2 linked regions of the Arabidopsis thaliana genome follow. Each later gene encodes a partner of the first gene's protein in a complex. Each region holds a gene or a part of one and is shown in the gene's direction. Other genes may lie near its edges.

Region 1 (6,332 bases):
CTCGATTTCGTCATCGTGATTGTCTGAATCTCTACGGGAAAGCTTGGTCTCCTTTGACATTGTATTACCCTAATCTGAAACAAAACCCAGTTCAAAATTTATGAAATCGACACACGAGAAATGATAAGTTTAGAAACTTGGAATCCATAGCTAAAGCTAAGAAGCTCGTTGGGTTTAAAGGCTGAAATAGATCTCACCTGTGTAGTAAATTGAGCAACAAAATCCAAAATTTGTCGAGCTTCTAAAGAGTTCGCTCTCTCTCTTTCTCTCTCACTCCCTCTCTCTTTCTAGATTCGCATGATTTGAGCAGTGAAGCAGGACGGAGAAAGGAATGTAAAAGAAAGAAGATGAAATGGACGGCTGAGATTGCATCTTTATGTTTTGTACTTTGAGGCGCTGTTCGAATTTGAATTTGGAAAGGGCTTTCTCACGTAATAAAGTAGGCTTGTAGAGGTTAGTTTCGTAAATGAGAAACCTATTTTCTTTTATTTTTTCAAAAATATTCAAACGGCTAAGACATTGAAAAAAGCAGTAGAGACTAGAGAGGGTCCATTTTAATTCGAATTATCTCGCCTCGTGATTAAAATATATATTTCCTAGCGGCTTATGTCAAAGTTCGAGATAAAATAAAAAAAATAGACTAATTTTGCGTAGGATTTGGTTTGGTTTGGGTCTGTTACTATAAGAATGAAATAAAGAGACTATACAATATACACCGTAACAAGTATATCCTTTAATTTTGTCATATGACAATTATTGTTCTTCTTTTTCTTTTTGGACATGGATAATTATATTTTGTTTCATTTTGGTAAATTAGGGTCCTGTTCGTTTGCCTGTGTTCGTTTGCTTGTCTGTGTTCGTTTGCCTGTCGCTGACGACTGAAACCAGCGACAACGACCAAAAGTTGTTTGTTTGCATAGCGATCAAAAGTAACGACAATCGCCAGCGACCAGCGACCGCAATTTTTGGTCGCTGAAATTTTTAGCGATCAGTCGCTGATTTCAGCGATTAGTCGCTGGTTTTAGTCGCTGGATCCAACGACATGCAAACGAACAATTTAGCGATCAAAAAATATAAATTAAAGAATAATTAAAAATAATTAAATTAAACAGAATTAAATTAAATTAAACTTAAAATAAATGTCTTTTTGCACTCTGAACGGTTGTGTCTTTTAATCGCAACTTTCCGTAAAAAATATTGATGGTTGTTTTTTCTCGCTTGTGTCTTTTATTGCAACCTTCCTATATTGTAATTTTCTGTCAAAATATTTACAGTTATTTTTTCCGGTTAGTTATATATATACTATTGAATAACTACGAAATTTAGAATATGCATCATTTGGAGTTAGATTTGTTTTAAAGAAATTATTATATAAATAAATTTATAATATTTTTCTCTGCGATATCAAGAAAGGTTTGAGTTCTAGTTTAATTAAAATAATTCTTATTAAATTAAGTTAAAATAAATTAAATTCAAATAACATAAACTAATTATAGTCAAATTAAATTTGATAAAACTAAAATAAATAAATCTATTAATTTATTTTTCTCATGGTGTATGATATATATGATTTACATTTTGATTTTAAAATATAAATTAGTACCAAAAATAATTAATTTTAAAAAAAAATATAGCGACTGTTTATAGCGACAGTCAAACGAACAACACAACGACAATTATTAGCGATTGTTGATGTAATTGGTCGCTGAGTCCAGCGACAGACAATCGAACAATATATGTTGTCGCTGGTTGCTGTCGCTGGTCGTTGGTCGCTGTCGCTGGATCCAGCGACAGGAAAACGAACAGGGCATAGGTTTTGTTTGTTTTATTTAGTATTTCTAACGTAAATTTTAAAAAAGCGCCAAAATCTAGAAGAAGAGTAATATGCGAGAAAATCACTTTTACTCTTATTTATTTACTTGTCTTGCCAAATTTCCATCAAAATTATTAATTACTTAATTATATAATTTTTGACTAATTATTTACTTTATTGGACCCGGGATATGTAACTAAATGGGCTTTTATTGGGCTGTATTCTGTGGACCATTAATAAACATAATCTTTGAAGTGCAAAAAAAAAAATGGGACCCGGGACAACTAAATCAGAATCGGGGCGGGTTATAAACTTTTCCCTATAAATTACCACTCCGATGTTAATACCCGCCTCTTTGATCCCTCAGACGATTTCTTCTTTCCGTTGTATCTTCCAATCACCCGATTGAGCTCCGCTTCACTTCCTCCGGCTAAATGTGTACATACTCTCAATTAGGAAACCGCCAATCCCACATAACGTTGAATGTCGTCGTCTCGGTTAGATATCAACGAGGGTTTTGTTCTTGGTTCCTTACTAAACAACAAAATTTGACGAAAATTGGTACTTGGGTATGAACGTTGTTATTCCCTAATTGTACCGGAAAATTTGATGGTGGTATGTTTCCCTTGTAGGTTTTCGTTGAGTCGTGGATTTGTTCTTGCTCCTGATTCTTTTCAGTAGTTCCTTTGCTATTTGGGAAGCAAAATTGTCACGCCACTCTTTGCATTCGAGGGTTTTATTATGTCTGAGTCCAACGACAACGAGACTTCCGCAGGTTATATTTGCAGTTTCTTACATGGTTTCTTCATTAGTGTATTGCATTCTCCTAGTTTTGCTCTAGTCATAATCTACTTATTGTGGGATAATTTATTGCTCAGCGTTTTGAGTTAATTAAATAGAAGGTTTTTATGTTTGAGATTTTGATATACGCAACAAGTCCCACCCATAGCAGTTACAAACTGAAACTATTTGCCACTACCAATTCCCGGTCATCAGCTTCACTGACTTGTGATGATATGTCGTGTAGATTATGGGAGCAATGATGAAGAGTATGATGGGCCTGAGCTTCAAGTAGTTACTGAGGAAGATCACCTACTACCAAAAAGAGAGTACTTATCAGCTGCATTTGCTTTGAGTGGTTTAAATTCCAGAGCTTCTGTGTTTGACGACGAAGATTATGATGAACAAGGAGGACAAGAGAAGGAACATGTACCAGTTGAGAAATCTTTTGATTCAGAAGAGAGGGAACCAGGTTTGCTTTTGAAATTTCCGTTTCTTGAACAAAACGATTAGCACACTCTATTCTCTACTTTTGTTTTGTCATTTCATTAATCTCAGATTGGTTTAGTTTTCTCAACACTTATACTTGTTTAGCTCGGGAAAATAATCTCTTGTTAAGTTGGAGTCCAGTGCGTCATAAATACTAGAGATCAGAACTCTTGGAACTTTTCTTAGATTCCTTTTGTGTTAGTGATTATGAGACACTAAACATTATTTTCGCAGTTGTCTTGAAGGAGGAAAAGCCCGTAAAGCATGAAAAGGAGGCTAGCATCTTGGGAAATAAGAATCAGATGGACACAGGAGATGTCCAGGAGGTCAGCAAGAATGATTTCGGTGTCTCAGATAACATCTTTTTTTGTTGTGGAATGATTTTGTTCTGTTAGTGATCTCATTGAAACGTTCAGGAGTTGGTGGTTGGATTATCAGAAGCTACTTTGGATGAGAAACGTGTCACCCCGCTGCCTACGTTATATCTTGAAGATGATGGTATGGTCATCTTACAATTCTCTGAGATATTTGCTATACAAGAGCCACAGAAGAAACGGCAGAAGAGAGAAATTAGATGTATCACTTATAGAGGTATGTGATCTGCAACGGCTTCCTAATTTTGTTTATTCTCAAAAGCCTTTGAATTTTTTGTGCTTTCCATTGGGATGTTAAAATCTACAACAACAATGATTTCTCAAGATTTTCAGTATCTCCCGTTCAATTCTAAAAGCCATTAGGTGTCGAAAGCATGAGAAGTTTTTTGTATGTGGCTCTGTCTTTTCTTGGCAAGAATTTAGTAGATATGTATATTTGGTGCTTCTGAAATGATATACATTATTTTCTCTGTTTCTCTCGTTATCTCTCTGCATTGTTCTTTTCTGTTTGTAATTCATCACTTCTTTTAATGTAACTAGAATAGCTGAGAAAGTTCTATGAAAACAATTATCATATGAGACTCTTACATCATAGCCTTCTTTGGTACAGACAAATACATATCTATGGATATTTCTGAGCTTATCGAAGACGATGAGGAGGTACTCCTGAAGAGCCATGGTAGGATTGACACTCATGGGAAAAAAACTGATCAAATTCAGCTGGATGTTCCCTTACCAATCAGAGAGCGTTCACAGCTGGTAAAATCTGGCATAGTAAGGGATACTACATCAGAATCGAGAGAGTTTACCAAGCTAGGAAGGGATTCATGTATCATGGGTGAACTGTTGAAGCAGGACTTAAAAGACGATAATTCATCTCTCTGTCAGTCTCAATTAACAATGGAAGTTTTCCCTCTAGACCAGCAAGAATGGGAACATCTAATACTCTGGGAAATTTCTCCTCAATTTAGTGCTAATTGTTGTGAGGGCTTCAAATCTGGACTTGAGTCAGCAGGTATAATGGTACAGGTGAGGGCTTCAAATTCAGTGACTGAACAAGAAAGCTTAAATGTGATGAACTCTGGAGGGCAAACTCAAGGGGACAATAACAACATGCTCGAGCCTTTTTTTGTAAATCCGTTGGAGTCTTTTGGCTCAAGAGGTTCCCAGTCTACAAATGAGTCCACTAACAAAAGTAGACATCATCCACAACTCCTTAGATTAGAATCTCAGTGGGATGAGGATCATTATAGGGAAAATGGCGATGCTGGACGGGAGAATTTAAAGCAGCTTAATAGTGACGCTCGTGGGCGCTTGAGTGGACTTGCATTGCAAGATAGGGATATGTGGGATGAGTCATGGTTAGATAGCATAATATGGGAGTCAGATAAAGATTTGAGCAGGTCTAAACTAATATTTGATCTTCAAGATGAGCAAATGATCTTTGAAGTTCCGAACAATAAGGAAAGAAAATATCTTCAACTTCATGCTGGATCTAGGATTGTATCTCGATCTTCAAAATCCAAGGACGGATCCTTTCAAGAAGGCTGTGGATCAAATTCTGGGTGGCAATTCAATATTTCTAATGACAAATTCTATATGAATGGGAAAAGCGCTCAGAAACTGCAAGGAAATGCTAAGAAATCTACCGTACACAGTTTGAGAGTTTTCCATTCGGCACCAGCGATTAAATTGCAGACGATGAAGATCAAATTGAGCAAGTAAGTGAGTCATTTGAATTTTTACATCTTATTGTATTTGTACGCTTCATTGTTACATTCGTGTGTGGTCTCAATGTTGCCACTGGATATATTTTTTAAATACATTTTTTTAGTGGTTTATGTTAAAAAGTTTTGATTTAACTCATTGCAGTAAAGAGAGAGCAAATTTTCACCGGCCCAAAGCTCTGTGGTATCCACATGACAATGAGCTAGCCATAAAGCAGCAAAAAATTTTACCCACCCAAGGTTCCATGACAATTGTTGTTAAGAGTCTGGGGGGTAAAGGATCACTGCTAACCGTCGGCAGAGAGGAATCTGTCTCTTCTTTAAAAGCCAAGGCTTCTAGAAAGCTAGGTTGTTTGTTTTCCTTTCATTTTTTGTCTACCCCATTATGACATGGATTCTATTTGGAGAACATGCTGTACTATTCACTTGCAAATCTTAGAGCTCATTTGCTACAATTGTGTTGCAGATTTTAAGGAAACAGAAGCAGTGAAGATGTTTTATATGGGGAAGGAACTTGAGGATGAAAAGTCTCTTGCTGAACAAAATGTTCAACCCAATTCCCTTGTCCATCTTTTACGTACTAAGGTGCATCTGTGGCCATGGGCACAAAAGCTTCCTGGCGAAAATAAATCTTTACGACCTCCTGGGGCTTTCAAGAAGAAATCTGACCTATCTAATCAAGATGGCCATGTTTTCTTGATGGAGTAAGAGAATTTCTATATGAGACTTACCTGTCAAATTTGGAACTTTTGTTTTGTTACTTTATGGCTCTTGTAGTTATCTTGATCTTTGTCTATAAGTCACCGTTACTTTTCATTAATCTGAGTAGGTATTGTGAAGAGAGGCCGTTGATGCTCAGCAATGCAGGAATGGGTGCAAATTTGTGCACGTATTATCAGAAGTCATCCCCAGAGGATCAACATGGGAACTTGCTGCGCAATCAAAGTGATACCTTAGGGAGTGTGATTATTCTAGAACATGGGAACAAATCCCCTTTCCTTGGGGAAGTACACGGTGGTTGCAGTCAGTCATCTGTTGAAACAAACATGTACAAAGCACCTGTTTTTCCTCATAGGTTGCAATCAACAGATTATTTGTTGGTCCGGTCTGCTAAAGGAAAGCTCTCTCTAAGGCGTATTAACAAGATAG
Region 2 (5,871 bases), on another chromosome or scaffold:
TTGGCGGTACAGCCATCAGTGTCTTTCTTGGCAAGGTACAACAATGCCTCGTTAAGCAGTGTGATTGTCTCTATTCTGTTCCGCTTCAGATTTTGGCTTTGTTGCATTAACATTCCCTCTTGTGTTCAGGGACTAGTGAATCTCAACTTTCTACAAGAGAAGAAAGAGGCTGACTTTCGTTACAGCCTTGTACGAGTGAGGGAAAATGCTGAATCTATTGCTTTCTATGGAGGCGAACAGAATGAAATGCAGCTTCTGCTTCAGCGTTTCAGAAGCGCTTTTGATAATTTAACTGTAAAATTTCTCGAGCTTTCTTATCCATTTATATATATATCTATAGATTGCACAATAAATTACATTCAATTTTTTCACCTGCAGGAATTGCTGATAGCATCTAGAAACCTAGAATTCTTCACCGATGGATATCGCTACCTCATTCAGATTCTTCCAGTTGCTGTTGTTGCCCCAATGTATTTCTCCGGGAAGATTGAGTTTGGTGTCATTAACCAGTCAGTGTCTGCATTCAATCATATCCTAGGAGACTTCTCGCTCGTTGTCTATCAGTTTCAAGCTATCAGCTCTTTTTCTGCTGTCATTGATCGACTAGGTAGATTAATTATGTATTCTGCACTCTCTTTTAATGTTCTATATATATACTACTTGTTGCTTACAGATCACACAAGACCTTAGATCAATACCGAACAACATTAGACGCAGAATATGCACATCACCATAATTTCTGTTACCTGATGGTGAGAAATAGATATTTTAGTAGTAGGGTTTTGTTTAGAATATCGAAGAGTAGAAGTTGCAGTGTGTCGCTGTAGTTAGTTATTTTCTTGTGTTATAACAGTATAGAGTGTGGTGTATAGTAGGATTTTGATAAGAATATATAGATAATAGTTAGACTGTATAGTAGTAAGATTTTGTTTATAATATCTAAGAGTGAATACCCGGAAAAAAATGCGGGTGTAACCGTTGAGAGTGTGATGGGCAGACAAAAAGATCGAGTCAGCTGTTCACTTTCCTGCTTAAAATTGGGTCTAAATTATGTCTTATGTACAACATATTCACAAAGTTTCATTGTTTCTGCAAATCAACTTCTACGGCTAAATGAAAAACTGCATTTGCTGTAGGTTGGGATTCTCCTTTTACGCATCTAACAATATCAAGACTTCTTCCAACACAGGTGAATTTGATGATCTTTTGGATAACAACATCTTCAGAGATCCATCTGACACTGTGGACGAGATTGAGCTGACATATCAGAGTGAGATGAACTCTTCACTGCTGGACACCAATGGTTCAATCAAGTCCCAACCGAACCAAAAGCGTCTGGAGATCGAGGAGCTTACTCTTCAGACACCAACAAACGGAACCACATTGGTTCACAACTTATCTGCAGATGTATATGACAAGGATCACCTACTGGTTAGTTCACTTTGACTACTTGTGTTTAAAGCATGTGACTGGTAGATTGGAAGTTACTTAAAAATGCCATTTAACAGATAATGGGTCCTAGTGGGAGTGGAAAAACTTCGCTGCTAAGAGCAATGGCTGGTCTTTGGAGGTCAGGGAAAGGAAAAATCACGTTCTACCTCGATCCTGAGGTAGATTTTACACAGGAGAAATCTGATACTCAGGAAAATTCAGGGAAAAGAGGAGACGTATTGTTCCTTCCACAAAGGCCTTATATGGTTCTGGGATCTTTGCGTCAGCAATTGCTTTATCCTACCTGGAGTGCAACTGTGGAGGAGACGACACCTGGTGGCAGTAATATTGACGGTACTCAGTTTAAATTTGTGTCTAGTAACAACCATTTCTTTCAACTCCATTTAAGTTTATGCAAGCAGATTATAGAACCCAAAAGCAAATCGACTGAAGAAAAAATGCGTTGATTTTGTTAGGTTCACCACCTCTGCTGATTAGAGAGGACGGAAATGAAAAGCCGACAACAGATGATCTGATGCGGACTCTAGAGAAGGTTTGTCTTGGACATATAGCGGATCGCTTTGGTGGTCTTGATTCGATACACGAGTGGTCCAGTGTTCTCTCACTTGGTGAGCAGCAGCGCCTTGCCTTTGCACGGTTATTGCTGTCTCAGCCAAAGCTGGCGCTCCTGGATGAATCCACCAGTGCGTTGGATGAAGCTAATGAGGTACTTGTTGGTTCTCCTCTCATCTATCATTTAGAATAATATCATGTACATGTAGCGTTGAGCCATTAAAATTCCTCTTGATGCCCAGGCGTTCCTGTACCAGCAAATCCAGTCGGCTGGCATTACATATATAAGCATTGGCCACCGCCGGACTTTAACGAAATTCCATAACAAGATCTTACAAATCTCAACGGCAGACCCGAAGAGCAATGAACGTAACTGGCGAATAGAGGACGTGGATGCCCAAGATTCTTTGTACGGTAGATTGAATCAAAAGGAGGTGCCAAGTGAAAGCTGATCAAAACCTGATTGATTACATAAGAGACAGAAGCAGCAGGTAAATCTGCAAACGGGTGTCATGAAACATATAAGAAACATGTTTGGTGTCCATTTTGTATATAATCTACCAGACTTGACGTTGACTGAAGATGCAAGTAAATAGAGAGATTGATACAGATACGAGTGCAACGAAGTTCTGATTAAAAATAACACGCGAGATGAGCTAAAAATTCAAAACCGGCTGAGTATTTATCATAAGCCCAATAAATCTAACGATGGGCCCATTTGAGAAAGCCTGATAGAGTGAGAAAATGTAACACGACTGACTCGACTCAGTCGCTCAAAGTCGAAAAAGAAAGAAGGCGCAAGGAGGATGGTGACGAAAGAATCCATTGAAGTGATAGCTCAGAGCATTGGACTCTCCACTCTTTCTCCGGACGTCTCAGCCGCTCTTGCTCCCGATGTCGAGTATCGCGTCCGAGAGGTCATGCAGGTATATCATCAACTTCAACTTTACTTTTGCCCTCTAATCTCCTCTTTAACTTGTCGTCGCAATCTCCAGGAAGCTATCAAATGCATGCGTCATGCTCGACGCACCACTTTAATGGCTCATGATGTCGATTCTGCTCTTCATTTCAGGAATTTGGAGGTTTCCTCTTCCTCTCTTCTTCTTTTATTTCATACCGTTGACCCTGATTTTGACTTTTTTTTGTATAGCCTACCTCTGGCTCCAAAAGTATGCGGTTCAAGAGAGCTCCTGAGAACAGAGATCTATACTTCTTCGATGACAAAGATGTCGAGCTCAAGAATGTAAGCTTCATTGATTGGCCATGAATGAAGAAGATGGTGAAATGTTGTTTATTGTTATTAAGCTTCCCTTCATGGTCTCTTGTGCAGGTTATCGAAGCTCCTCTACCAAATGCACCTCCTGATGCATCTGTTTTCTCATTGGTTGGCAATTGATGGTATTCAACCTTCCATTCCACAGAATTCTCCTCTCCAAGGTATTTCTTTTGTCTTCTTTTGCATCACCTACTACTTCTCCTTCTAATCCCTCTTCCATGACAATTTGTAGCCATATCTGACCTTAAACGATCGGAATATAAGGACGATGGCTTGGCTGCTAGACAGGTGCTTTCTAAGGACCTTCAGGTTATTTTACTCCCTTCTTTTTTTGGGTCTTTACCTCGCTCTTTGAATGCTATATAATCCTTGCTTGCTCTCGATGCAGATTTACTTTGACAAAGTCACGGAGTGGGCTTTGACTCAATCTGGCTCCACCCTCTTTAGACAAGCACTCGCCAGCTTGGAAATTGATCCTGGACTCCACCCATTAGTTCCCTTTTTCACTTCTTTCATCGCTGAAGAGGTTTGTCTTTGTAATCCAACACTTCTAGTCTTGACTTTTATTCTAACTTGACCACATTTTCACTACTTTTTTTGTGCTTGCAATTTCTCCAGATTGTCAAAAACATGGATAATTATCCAATCTTGTTGGCTTTGATGCGTCTTGCTAGAAGCCTCCTTCATAACCCTCATGTACATATTGAGCCATATGTAAGTTTTGTGCGCACACTTTTTTTTTGTTTTTTTTTGTTTCTCTTCTCCCTTCTCCTCCTTCTGTTGACTTTTAACTTGTTGTATTCTGTTCAGCTGCATCAGTTGATGCCGTCTATTATCACTTGCCTTATTGCCAAGCGCTTAGGAAGAAGGTCATCTGATAATCACTGGGACTTGAGAAACTTCACTGCCAGCACAGTTGCTTCAACGTGCAAAAGGTTAATGTTACATTCTTGCTTTGTGATTTCATGCATCTTATACAACCATATAACTTGCAATCACATTAGTGAACTTTTTACAGGTTTGGACACGTTTATCACAATTTGTTGCCACGTGTCACAAGATCACTGCTTCATACCTTTTTGGACCCAACCAAGGCACTCCCACAACACTATGGGGCAATTCAAGGGATGGTAGCCCTTGGGCTTAATATGGTACTTCCTCTTGATGCTTCTTGATTATCATAACGAAGAGTAGCACTTTAGGTTGTGCGTCTAGAATTTTTACATAAGAAAGCATAAGTTTAAAACTAATAGTAGCATGATCCGACATCCTCGATAAAGTTATTAAACCTGCAATTGAACCTTAAGATATATATCCTTTGGTCGTCCGTAAGTATTTTCTTGCTTTATACCTTTGTCTAGGTTCGCTTTCTTGTTCTCCCAAACCTAGGGCCGTATTTGCTGCTTCTTTTACCTGAAATGGGACTTGAGAAGCAGAAGGAAGAAGCTAAGAGGCATGGGGCTTGGCTTGTTTATGGAGCGTTGATGGTGAGTATGCTTTCTAGTTTGATACAGAAATTAGAAAACTTGTTTGCTTTCAATCTCGTGTTGCAAAACAGGCAGGAGAGCATATAAACTTTAACTTTCCATAGGTGGCAGCTGGTCGATGCCTATATGAACGGCTTAAAACATCTGAGACACTGCTGTCTCCTCCAACTAGCTCTGTCTGGAAGACAAATGGAAAGCTCACCAGCCCCAGGCAAAGTATAAAATCTGGTCTCATTCTTTTTTTTTCTTTTGGCGTTCTAAACACGGAGATACGCGTTCTTAAATAATTTTTTTCTTCGGCCAAGGTAAACGCAAAGCAAGCAGTGACAACTTAACTCATCAACCACCACTGAAGAAGATAGCAGTAGGGGGAATTATACAAATGAGCTCCACACAAATGCAGATGCGCGGAACCACAACAGTCCCTCAACAGTCCCACACAGATGCAGATGCACGGCACCACAATAGTCCCTCAACAATTGCTCCGAAGACTTCAGCTGCTGCAGGCACTGACGTCGACAACTATCTCTTTCCTCTTTTTGAGTATTTTGGTGAGAGCATGCTTATGTTCACCCCCACACATGAGCTCAGTTTCTTCTTGTAATAGATTATTGACATGGTAATTGTATGTACCACAATAAATACATCTATATAATATTTCGAAATGTCTTGGAAATCGTCAACTTTATAGTGGGCATTTTGCGAGAGGTAAAATCAACCAGTGTTAATCTTACATAGACATATGTGTACTCTAATTATAGCTTGGCCTGGACCACAAATACACATCTTTTCCATGCTACTCCCCATCTCCATCTCCATCTCCACTATTAGTTGTGAAGAACGGAGTCAGAAAGTTTTTGTCCAACGCGGTGAATGATGTAGTGCTGCAAAGTTTTGTCAAGTGAGTCCCAAAAAATTGCAAATATCGCTTTTTACTCAGGAAAACATACTAAGCCATTCTCTTATTCTTACGTTTTGTGAAACTCCTTCAGCTTCATCTTGAACCTGCTTCCTGATGATGATGTATCCTCGTCAGATGAAGCTCCAATGCTAAAAGGAGGAGGGACATACTGATGATCGCTCTCTTCAAAGCCCTAACCACGT

The links. The genes of interacting proteins can lie anywhere in the genome.
Region 2: HAF2 (region 1) and TAF6B share a complex: the UniProt entries of both Arabidopsis thaliana proteins name them as parts of the TFIID complex.

Annotation. Positions count from the first base shown.
Region 1 is NC_003074.8:6,571,775-6,578,106, reverse strand, and holds the start of HAF2 (histone acetyltransferase of the TAFII250 family 2), read left to right. Parts: upstream 1-2,493; 5' UTR 2,494-2,554; coding exon 2,555-2,588; intron 2,589-2,824; coding exon of another isoform or gene 2,825-2,840; coding exon 2,841-3,065; intron 3,066-3,316; coding exon 3,317-3,408; intron 3,409-3,498; coding exon 3,499-3,673; intron 3,674-4,066; coding exon 4,067-5,177; intron 5,178-5,328; coding exon 5,329-5,531; intron 5,532-5,649; coding exon 5,650-5,887; intron 5,888-6,012; coding exon 6,013-6,332. Other genes in the region: POK2 (phragmoplast orienting kinesin 2), read right to left, coding at 1-60. UniProt on the Arabidopsis thaliana protein: TAFs are components of the transcription factor IID (TFIID) complex that is essential for mediating regulation of RNA polymerase transcription. Core scaffold of the TFIID complex.
Region 2 is NC_003070.9:20,287,790-20,293,660, forward strand, and holds TAF6B (TBP-ASSOCIATED FACTOR 6B), read left to right. Parts: upstream 1-2,810; coding exon 2,811-2,930; coding exon of another isoform or gene 2,931-2,999; coding exon 3,000-3,247; intron 3,248-3,334; coding exon 3,335-3,441; intron 3,442-3,512; coding exon 3,513-3,589; intron 3,590-3,668; coding exon 3,669-3,806; intron 3,807-3,898; coding exon 3,899-3,994; intron 3,995-4,090; coding exon 4,091-4,215; intron 4,216-4,298; coding exon 4,299-4,431; intron 4,432-4,641; coding exon 4,642-4,767; intron 4,768-4,871; coding exon 4,872-4,983; intron 4,984-5,072; coding exon 5,073-5,371; downstream 5,372-5,871. Other genes in the region: ABCD2 (ABC transporter family protein), read left to right, coding at 1-35, 130-294, 379-607, 1,190-1,431, 1,509-1,785, 1,908-2,158, 2,247-2,456; NHX5 (sodium hydrogen exchanger 5), read right to left, coding at 5,564-5,651, 5,740-5,861. UniProt on the Arabidopsis thaliana protein: TAFs are components of the transcription factor IID (TFIID) complex that is essential for mediating regulation of RNA polymerase transcription. Not redundant with TAF6.